Linked DNA regions of Neodiprion lecontei. The protein of the gene in region 2 binds, or shares a complex with, the protein of the main gene of each other region. Links are inferred from orthologs where the notes say so. Each region holds a gene or a part of one and is shown on either strand. Other genes may lie near its edges. The genes, in order: sodium leak channel non-selective protein and protein unc-80 homolog.

Evidence for each region.
Region 1: the proteins of protein unc-80 homolog (region 2) and sodium leak channel non-selective protein are in contact, whole or in part, in a cryo-EM structure (PDB 7SX3), measured with the Homo sapiens proteins. The link is inferred for Neodiprion lecontei from reciprocal best matches to the Homo sapiens genes UNC80 and NALCN. Residues at the interface, in NP_115893.1 of Homo sapiens: Lys1979, Asn2004, Glu2005, Cys2006, Asp2007, Leu2128, Arg2129, Leu2130, Pro2131, Pro2134, Arg2135, Ile2138, Asp2139, Phe2142, Phe2145, Ser2146, Glu2179, Asp2184, Glu2185, Met2187, Leu2188, Asn2191, Asn2194, Ile2198, Leu2199, Glu2202, Ser2226, Leu2227, Ser2228, Gln2231; in NP_001337678.1 of Homo sapiens: Asn639, Met643, Val644, Ile646, Lys648, Leu649, Pro650, Phe653, Val655, Pro656, Lys657, Ile658, Arg659, Glu660, Phe662, Met663, Lys664, Gln665, Phe666, Ile667, Arg669, Val711, Ser713, Arg715, Ala716, Arg717, Leu719, Lys722, Glu723, Ala725.

What each region holds. Positions count from the first base shown.
Region 1 is NC_060261.1:28,730,987-28,736,109, forward strand, and holds the start of sodium leak channel non-selective protein, read right to left. Parts: upstream 3,277-5,123; 5' UTR 2,840-3,276; intron 2,338-2,839; 5' UTR 2,293-2,337; intron 1,886-2,292; 5' UTR 1,857-1,885; coding exon 1,752-1,856; intron 1,678-1,751; coding exon 1,492-1,677; coding exon of another isoform or gene 1,480-1,491; intron 996-1,479; coding exon 757-995; intron 574-756; coding exon 299-573; intron 215-298; coding exon 1-214. Other genes in the region: ATP-binding cassette sub-family C member 5, read right to left, coding at 3,700-3,960, 4,054-4,246, 4,514-4,697. UniProt on the Homo sapiens protein: Voltage-gated ion channel responsible for the resting Na(+) permeability that controls neuronal excitability. NALCN channel functions as a multi-protein complex, which consists at least of NALCN, NALF1, UNC79 and UNC80.
Region 2 is NC_060260.1:11,412,628-11,417,663, forward strand, and holds the start of protein unc-80 homolog, read right to left. Parts: upstream 3,126-5,036; 5' UTR 3,003-3,125; intron 1,354-3,002; 5' UTR 1,321-1,353; coding exon 1,235-1,320; intron 1,133-1,234; coding exon 1,084-1,132; intron 267-1,083; coding exon 240-266; intron 1-239. UniProt on the Homo sapiens protein: Auxiliary subunit of the NALCN sodium channel complex, a voltage-gated ion channel responsible for the resting Na(+) permeability that controls neuronal excitability.

The DNA.
Region 1 (5,123 bases), on a different chromosome or scaffold from region 2:
ACACCCCACATTTGTTGAAATTGGACCCGAATTTCATTGAACGTTTCAGTTATTACGGCTATGAAAACGTTTTTCACAAGCCATGCTAGGAAAAAGATCATAGTGCTGAAGTAGAAGGCTGCTCTCCAACCTGGCAGACTATCAATAGCTCGGTACATGATGAAAACCCATCCTTCTTGAGACGCCGCTTGATAGACGGTGAAAATACTAGTCGCTAAAATAAGCAGATTCGATCATACCTAATTTTTGATAGTGACTTGTTAATTTTGATGAATGCATACTTTTATTTCACACTCACCGAACTCGTCAAATCCATTGAAACCCATAATATACCTGGATAGTTCTAATTTCATACACTTCATACCCTCAGGACACTGATACCCAGATTCTGGATCCGTAGAACAAAAAGTGTCTGGAATTGCTAAGCTATTTATCGTAATATGATTTGAGTCTGTTGTGTTCAGAACACAGTGATTTTTTAGCTCCCCAAAAAATTGTACTCCCAGTAATCCGTAAAGAGACATAAAGAAAAGGAAGAACAACGTTACATTGTAAATTTGTTGGCTTGATCGTCTGAAAATGAATATTCCATGTATAAGTATATCACATGTGACAAAGTATCAAAAATCTATATATTTATCGGTATGTTATTTTCTCTGTACTAGAAAATCTAAGTCATTGAACTCCACTACATTCTCACATGAAACTATAGTGATATGTTATAATTACATGATTATATCTATAATACGTTCTTACTTGAAAATTTGATTTATTCTTGATTTTGGCATAGAGAACTTGAGGAAGACACGAAGAAAGCGAATCATAATCAGCGGCCTCGGTGCTCTCAAGATGGATGCATAACTGAATCGCAAGACAAGACCTAGCATCTCAAACATTTGCAGGATGACAGAGAGCCATAAAAAGAATACCATACTCGCATCGAACTGGCACCAATGATCTTTCAAGTAAGGCACTTCACCCTGAAATGAACTAGACTGAGAACATATTCTGCTATTGCAACTATGGAACGTCTGAAATCACCAAGTTTTCTAATGCTAACTGAAGCTATTTATTTCGAGGTATAGCTCTGAAAAATATGCAGTACATACTTTTTTACCAGCATCAATACTTTGTTAGAACTACTTTTCAGATCAATAATCATTCAAACATTACAAGCGATGCATTCTATTGAAATTGTGTTGTCAGTTAGCCAACAAAAGTAAATCTTTTAACATATTTTTGAACAATAAAGAAAATTGCAGAGTTTTATAGTTTTTGATAATTTAACATATATCGTGGAGATTGACTTTCATTATTAAGCTATTTCAAGACTAAAAGCTGGCAGCATAACTATATTGCTTGGCTGAACATAACGAGGTTTTTTTACGAATTAGTGCATAAGATATATTTAATAACTTTTTTTTATCAACAACAGGGAAGCACAAAACGACACATATTAGTAATAAAAATAGTTCTCACAGTTGTTCTGACCTTCAGTATGCCACGAATGTGCATCTTGGCAATCATCTCGGCAGTGAATAGAAATGTGACAACCAAATCGCACACAAAGGTGACATACTGCAGTGGAGGTACCCTCTCGAAAGTTTTTGGTGTGTTAAGGCAGACAGAGGCTAGCGATACTAGAGCGCAAAGCCTCATCAGCCTGCGAACCCATAGCTACAAAGCAAAATAAGGAACATTGTCACTTTAATTCCATCATTCTTTTATACTTTCTCATATATTGTTCTCACTTTGTTGACCCATTCGATATCTGCACTTTCGTTCAGACACTCTTCTGGACCGTAATCTGCCAGAACAGGCTCTCCTTTGAGGCTCTGCTTCCTCCCCAACATCATAATAGGTATTATATTCGCAATGGTGAAGCCTAAAAAACAAATGTTTAAATTATTTGGATGCATTACAACGCCACCATAACTTGATAAACAACATTCAACACTCTGCCCATTTATTATTAGGTGCATGGATGTTAGTAGATCAGACAATCAGTCTCTGATACTTGACACGTTACTAGTGGACACTTAATCACATAAAAAATGATGATTGATCTATGGCCAATAGGTTGAAGAATGATTTGGAATTTAACTATTAGTTAAAATAACGACATTCAGGTACAGTCAGAATTATTTCTCAAATGGAGTATCGATCAGTTTGTAATCTAATGACGAATGAATGTGTGTCGACATATATTATTAAGGTAAAACGTAAATAGACACATACACAAGCATATTAACATCCAGCTTTCAAACACAATGATTTAACTCCCATACTCACGTGACGTTCTAATTTCACCGCTATTATGTATTGTCAAAACACTAGCTGAAAATTATTTTGAAAACATAAGCGGTCTGACATATTTCTTTCTAATATCTAGCTCTGCTTAATCTACACATTTAGAACGAGTTTGATAGTATAAAATGTGTAGATATGAAACATTTTTCAATGAAATTGAATGGTCAATATGCTTCTTATACGGTAAACGAGAGATAAGTTGATCTTGTTAAGGAGGATTTTTACTATTTTTTGCAATACGATTATATAGAATATTTTAATAAAGCTCAAATACAGTTCAATAAATCATTTCGAACTGGGTGCAACTGTTGATCAAGATCATTAGTTGCGTCTCGTTAAGTGATGAAAGTGACAGTTGGTAATTTCAGTAGATTTGAAATAATTGTAGTTTTTTTTACCAAGATAGAAGGAAGTGAACAAATTGTGAATATTAAAAAATTGTACACAGTTTTGGGTATAAAAAGATAATTATGGGGTATAAGAATGCATTTGTTCTTTCACAACTCGTTCAATATAATCAAAGTCTTACCGTTCTTGTAACAATTTGGTCAACCAATAAACTCTGCCTTCACGGCAATTCGTATAAACTACATTTTGTATAAAATAACAACAAAACTCAACGATTAATAAACATTTTAATAATAACAAGGTAGTGGCATGGTGATCATTTTGTAGGGCAGGTACAGCCAGCTGGGATGCTGGGCATGAGCAGTCAGCACCAATTTGAAAATCAATATTAGAAACGCTAAGTTGCAGTTTATACGCGATTTCTCTTTACTGAAGAAATTTGTTGAGACATGCAACATTAGGTGACGAATTGTAATATGAACTTGATTGTACGTAGCTACAGTAACTGTTATATTGATTTGTTTCATTTACATACTTGAAACATAACATATAATACTTACAGATATGAAAAAAGTAGACCAAATACGGAAACAATAAAAGAAGACACAAATTTGGAATTTAGTATGAAAAAATTAAGAAACTTTGATTTATCTTAACTTACTTATTTAAGGATAATATAAAACAATAAAATACAATTAGAAATTACTAAACCGGTAATGCTGGAATCGTTGAAAATGATTAAATCATTTTGAACACGTATTTTTTTATCGTAGTATTTCTGCTCAATTGTTCATTTCTATAATACTAATTGTACAACATTTGTAAATAGTTATGCAACTGAGAATATATTTCCCTGCCACGAGTGGTAAATAGAGTAGTAATTCTTGAATCTTTGGTGGTTGAAGTTTGTTCTCATTTCAAGCATGTTTCAACGGGTTCAGATACAATTCGATTACTAGACATAACTTGGAAATTTATGCTGTATGTGGATGTAATCGTCTCTAATACTGCCATAAGCTATTGCAAAAAAAAAATAGCTCTTCATTTGTTTTCTACTGTATTAGCACCTGCTATCATTTTAGAAAATTCAGAATTTGGGTCTTTAAGAAGATTATACGGCTTATCAAATTCTAATATTTTGCCGCTGTTCATAACGAGGACTCGGTCAAGGAACAAAACAGTTTGTAGCCTGTGTGCTATGATCAGTATCGTGCAGAAAGAAAACTCCTGTTGAATTGTAGTCTGAACAGCAATCTCAGTTTCTGGATCTACAGCGGCAGTTGCTTCATCCATAACAAGTATCTAAAATAAATGGTATATCTTCAGTTTTAAAGTACTAACACATCGATGCACAAAGATGTTGAATTTTCTTGTATATGCAGTTAAGTAACAAACCTTAGACTCCCTGAGCAATGCTCTTGATAAACAAAGCAGCTGCCTTTCACCCACGCTTAAATTGTCTCCTCCATACCCAACAGATGCGTCAAGATGACCATTGATCGATTGTACTCTATTCTTCAGTTTGGTTTTTTCAAGCGCTAGCCATATTTCTGAATCTGTGTAACGTTTGAATGGATCCAGATTCGATCTGAAAGTTTAAGTCCAGTGCATCATAGAAGCAAGTTGAGTAGGTTTCGTTGACGTAAACATTAGTACAATGTTCCAAGCCCTACACTCTCATAATAATAGAACACGCACTCGTACCTTATTTACAAACTGAGAGAGATAGCTGAAAACTGATGTCGAAATGTCTGCCTATAATACTCGCGGTATACATGTATGATGCTCTCTTTTTCTGTGCGCTTTACTACACAACAACGAGTTGCATGTATTTTGAATCGCAACGAACACATACCTTATACTTCCGTTAAACAGTATTGGGTCCTGTGGGATGATCGAAAGTTTTGTTCTTAAGTGACCGAGGTTTATTTCTGATATATCAACATTGTCTATTTCTATTTTTCCCTCCGTCAACTCGACTAGCCTGAATAAGGCTGCTGTAAGGGAACTCTTCCCTGATCCTGTCCTCCCGACAATGCCTATAATTCCAAAGTGGCAAATTTTGAAAAATAATTACTTACAGATTGGGTTTGAGCTCATAAATTGACTTGGTTCCGACAAATAGGCAAATCTCCCCTCATGCATAACATCAATTAAAATTGATTTACACCCCCAAAATAATGTTCCACACATTCAATTTTGCAATGAAAATTATTAAAAGTAGCAAGAAGGTCTCAAAAGTTGGAACTGACTTCTAAAGCGTGGTATTCGCGTGATGTGTGTCGTTATTCAATGTTCGGAGCTTGGTAATTAGTATCGAAATCTAGATTTCGTACATTAGCATACAGTTTCAAACATTACTTTAAATCGAAAGTACTTAAGTATATACTTCTTCAAATGTTATTCATAAACACCTGTTAGCTTTCTTTTAAGGGTGTTGAAAAAATTTGTCACAAAGGCAAGTA
Region 2 (5,036 bases):
AAGGTTTTATTCAGACTGTTGATTTAGTTTCAATGAAGCTGTTCATGAAACTGGGGGGGAGGGGGGGGGGGGGTGCAAGGATTCAACACGTATTAGATAATTTACTCATCACATGCACGTCTCAAAGGCTAACGGTAGAAATCCAGAAACTAAATTTTGAAAGGAGTCATAACGGTATGGTAAGCGGGTAAGTATTCACACGCCACAAAATGATAAAAAGCAGAGCAAAGCTAACTTACATGATGGCCGGGCGCACGTTGACAGAACTGCGGACAGGTGACGATTGGAGGTGGCCACATGGTGGAGAGGGTAGTTTTTTGTTAGTGCAAGTCAGGCACAGGGTAAAACGTAGGTGTACAGGTGTCAGCCATGAGGGGTCAGCCATAGAATCACACAACACCATCAAATTGCTTAAACGATGCTTCCCAATTTGTATGGGATTTTTATCTTTACTTTTATCGCAGTGCAATTTAACTAGCTTGCCTTTCTGTTGCTCATTTTCTGCGTACATGGTCTATAAGTTATTGCTGAAACGTGTGTTGTGACAGGTGAAGGCTAAAAATTTTCATTAAAATTAACATAAGAAAAATAACATCGGAACAAAACGTATATAAAAGTTAATTTTAATCGAATTATAAGAATTTAATACAATAATCCGTTAAGAATTTTACCGTTTCAGATGTCGTGAAATGATTGCAAGTTTCAAAGATACAGTTCGGATCCAGTTTTTACTTCTAAAAAGTCCATCGATGACTGTATAATGAGGTGGGAGAAAATATTTAAAAAAAAAAATAACGATCGATAGCTATCTCTCAAATTATAATCGGCATTGTAGGAAATAAAATCACATTTTACGCAACGTTGGAAGTAAGCACACGTTACCAGCAATAATATCAAGTGCAAGCAATATGATGCTATCGTCTATAATTTATCAGCATTTTTTCAATTGTATGTATATACAAATAAGCGTGTGTCAGTATTTTTAGTCTGTTAACTTTATTTAACATTTTAACAAGAACATGTCGATTAGGGTTCGATCAAATGTTTACATTTTCGCTGAAATATACGTAGCGTGCATCTTACCATACATGATGCTTCATGGAGTTTTCCAAGCTTGGCTCGTATGAACGGACTAAGGAAGATCAAGTTTTAATACGACGATTTGTTGATGAAGATTCGAAATAAATATAAATTTTTTGAAACATTTAAACCGTTAAGAAAATATCATTCTCACCTTGTTTGTCTCCAGAGAAAGGTCTGTATTGGAATCGGCAAGGCTTGATCATGCAAGCTGTCATCGATGGACCGGCGTTTTTCCATGTTTGCCACTCGGAATTTATCTCATACTGTACTCTGGAATGTATTATAATTGATCACCAATCATCCCCACCGTAAACTCAATGAAAATAGTGGAAAGTACACTGCGCAATTGGATCAAAGATTGCTGTATTATGCGTATGAAATTATTTATACTATTAGAGTAACTTGTAACATATATTTCGATGCCATAACATGGTAAAATTTTTTTTGATTTATCGTTATTCAAATTTCGAATTTTCGTTGTTGAGGGCGATGTTTGTCTGACCATTGTCTCGAGTTCCTGACTTGTAAAACCGGTTCTATTGACGCTTCGCATAACGTGTGGATATATTTTGCCTTCTTAAGATGGCGTGATTGACACAAAAGTGAGAAATAGAAGTATTTTGCATGGATAATTCACGCGTCCGAATACCTCGTATTATTGTTCGTAATAGTATATATCCGGGGTTTCCCGAACTTTCATTACCCGACGAAAAGCATTTAGATTGACCATTGTCATCGCCGGTCTCGTTCGCCTATTTATAGAGTCATCTGATCCACCCACGGACTCCTGAAGCTTTTAGCCTTCATTAAGAGGAAATGCGTGTTGATTGGTCCCGAGTTCTAGCTTTGATGTTTAGTTTTCAATAAACCGAGCCATACCACTCAAGGCGAGTCGATGATTACACAGTCCCGATGTCGGATAGTGAATTTACTATCGATATAATTAATTAAGGGTCGCATCACTCGGTCAAAGTTTTATCAATAACAATAAATATCACGATACTCGGTGAAAATAATAATGCCTCCTGTCATGATTCCGTTGTACACACCTCAAGTCACCTAACTGCTCCTGATCCTCTTACCCTAAGCGGAGGCTGCAGCTGATAAGAATGGATTCGCCGCCAGGAACCAACCAAAATTTGCGTGACAGCTCTGCTCAGATATCGGATAATACGCATATAAACGCCCAGCTAAGCGTCAACATACCGATCTGTTTATAAATCCGAGTTACAAATCGCGTACGTACCATTATTCGAAACTGAACGACTGTACTAAATTCGGAGATAATCTTTCGTATTTTCTGACGGTTACCTTATAGCTGGAATTGTCGAGTCGATTAGGCAAATGACGGGGGCGAAGCGACGAGGAGCGACGAGTAAATAGAATCACCTTACGCAACGTGATATTCGTTGGACAATGATTATTGCGCATAACGCTTTGTTAGATCAAAAAGAATTAGATAACCGGAATTGGTTTGAAAATATTTTCGTCGATTTATGCTAGAGTCGAGTTGGGCACCGGCACGAATGCTGGAATTTCGAGGAAATTTAATTCATCGTTCAGAAAAGTCATTCATCGCGTAACACTGACCGGATCCGAAGCAATCACAGACGTTATTCAGCCACCTATGTGTGTGACACACATTTTCAGTAACTCGCAGATGATTTGCTGTATTTCGAATTCGGTGTAATAGTTCATGCGATTGGATATTGTTTAAAATAATAAATAACGATTGAATAAACGACCGCGGTTTTTTCCTCTTTCCCGCTAGTTCCAATCTATTCTTTTAGTTAATTGATAACGAAATTACGGTGGTGATTATGAACCTGCGTTAAAACGAGTAAACCGGATTTATCACTTATAAAGTCTGGGAAAAATATGTTTAAACAGTGATAAACGGAGGGTAATGTAAGACTCACGAGAGTGAATGGTTTAGGCATCTTCAAAGTTTGATTGCATTGAGATTCAGCGGCAGGTAGGAGCAACAGAAAATTTCTTAACTGAACGATAGCGCGAGGAGACGGAACAGAACGGAATGAAACGGTGCGAAGTGCTCAACGAGGAGGACAAGGACGATGACGAAGACGAGGATGAGAGGAATGTGCGCGCGACGCTATGGAAACTAGGACACCAACGCGCCGTCGCCCATCGATTTCTCCGGGATTCTGCCCGATGGACCACCACCCACCTTCTTCAACCCCGTCGAGACAGTGCAGGAATGATTTCTTCGATCAGTTGGCTAAGCATGTGCAGAGCAGATCACAAAAATGCTTAACAGTCTCCTTGGTACCTGTATGATGTCCCTGTAGGGATGAGGAAATTTTGCACTTCATCGTCGTTGTTGATACACTAACAAGGTGACGATTGTTTCGAATTCAATTTCATCCAACTATCGAAAGTCGTTTTTCTGCCGCACGAATGGCTTCTAACATTTGGAACATCCATTCTTGTATGTATCGCTAGAATATCTGAGATTTTATCGCCGCAACCTGGGTTCAATTGCTACCGAGGTGTAGAAGCAAGTGAGGGAAACAAAATTCATCGACAAGCACTTGCTGAGGTTCATTTCATGTGTGAGAACCCATCGACGGACATTGTTTCGCATGTATGGAATAACAATATTTTCATCCGATGACCTTAAAGTTTATATACGCACCTGCAATATACCTAATAATATGATCTAATAATCCTGATGTAGGGACTTGACAAATGGATTTATTTATACGATACGTTCGATCAACAGAGTTTACTGTACCCTGTATATGATACAGGATACTCGAATATTTTCAATCAGGGAAATTACGATGATGTGGTGGATTGGTTTGATTTGCCGATGGCGTGTTTAAGACTCCGACTCCAAAAGATAAAACTGACTCTCAAGTTAACAAATATGACCGTATGGTTATATTCGCGGGATTTCTTCGCACTTTTCACACTCATAAGAAGTTTCTCGACTGCAATTCGATTGCTGGTTCACAGGCGTTTCGGAATCGCTCAAAACCATGTCTATTTCGAAGCTTAGTTCATTTTCAGAAGTTTTCACTCTGCTTCTCTCGTCACACCGTAGCATCTGACTTGTAAGTACAGGGTTGATCTCGATGCACACTTCCGTGGAGGCTCCAGTTTCTCCTGAAATTCTTCTAGCCTCGTTACTAACAGCCTTGCAAATATCGGACCAAAGTTCCCTTTGGCTAGGGTGAAGAGTTCCTACGAGCTGTTGAAAATCCTCCCAGTCCATCTCGTCTTTGCTTTCGAGAATTTTTCTGTACATAGGCAGAGCTTTTGCTTCAAGATTCTCTTTGCCATCACTGCTGATTTCTCTTGATGATATTTCGTCGTATGCAATCTGTCGCTCGAACTTCTCCGATTCTCTGAGCTGCAAAACGCTTTCGAGCCTTCTGCTAAACGATGACCGTTGACGGATGTCAAGTTTCCGTTGATCCTCAACGCTGTATTCACTACCAGACGATGTTACTGTAATTGGGTTTTTGTAAGTCATTTGCAAGCTATTCTTTGGGAACTCGTCAAACGCTTTCGTCTGTTTCATACTGGTCACCGCTTTATCCTTGTTGTTCATCGAAGAAAAACTTCCCTTTGAAGTATAAAAATTCTTTTGCGAAGGTGACGCTCTTGATTCTTCTTTCAAAGGTTTCTCACAAGCGGTTACATTCTCAACAAGTTTTACATTGTTACGAATATTTTTATGTTCACAAGTGTCCGCTGTTTGCAGACGATCGTTATTGGCAATATCTCTGCAGCGTTTATCGCGTGCGATATTCAGTTTTCTACGTTCATCCAATACATTGATAGTATTTTCCGTGAACCCAGTCATCAACTTAAATTCATCGTCAGCCGGAAGCATTTCCTTGTAATCAGATGTTTTGCGTTGAGATTCTTTCATCTTGCTATCCAATGTTGATGCTGTACAACAATCTTTGTTGTTTCCCACTTGA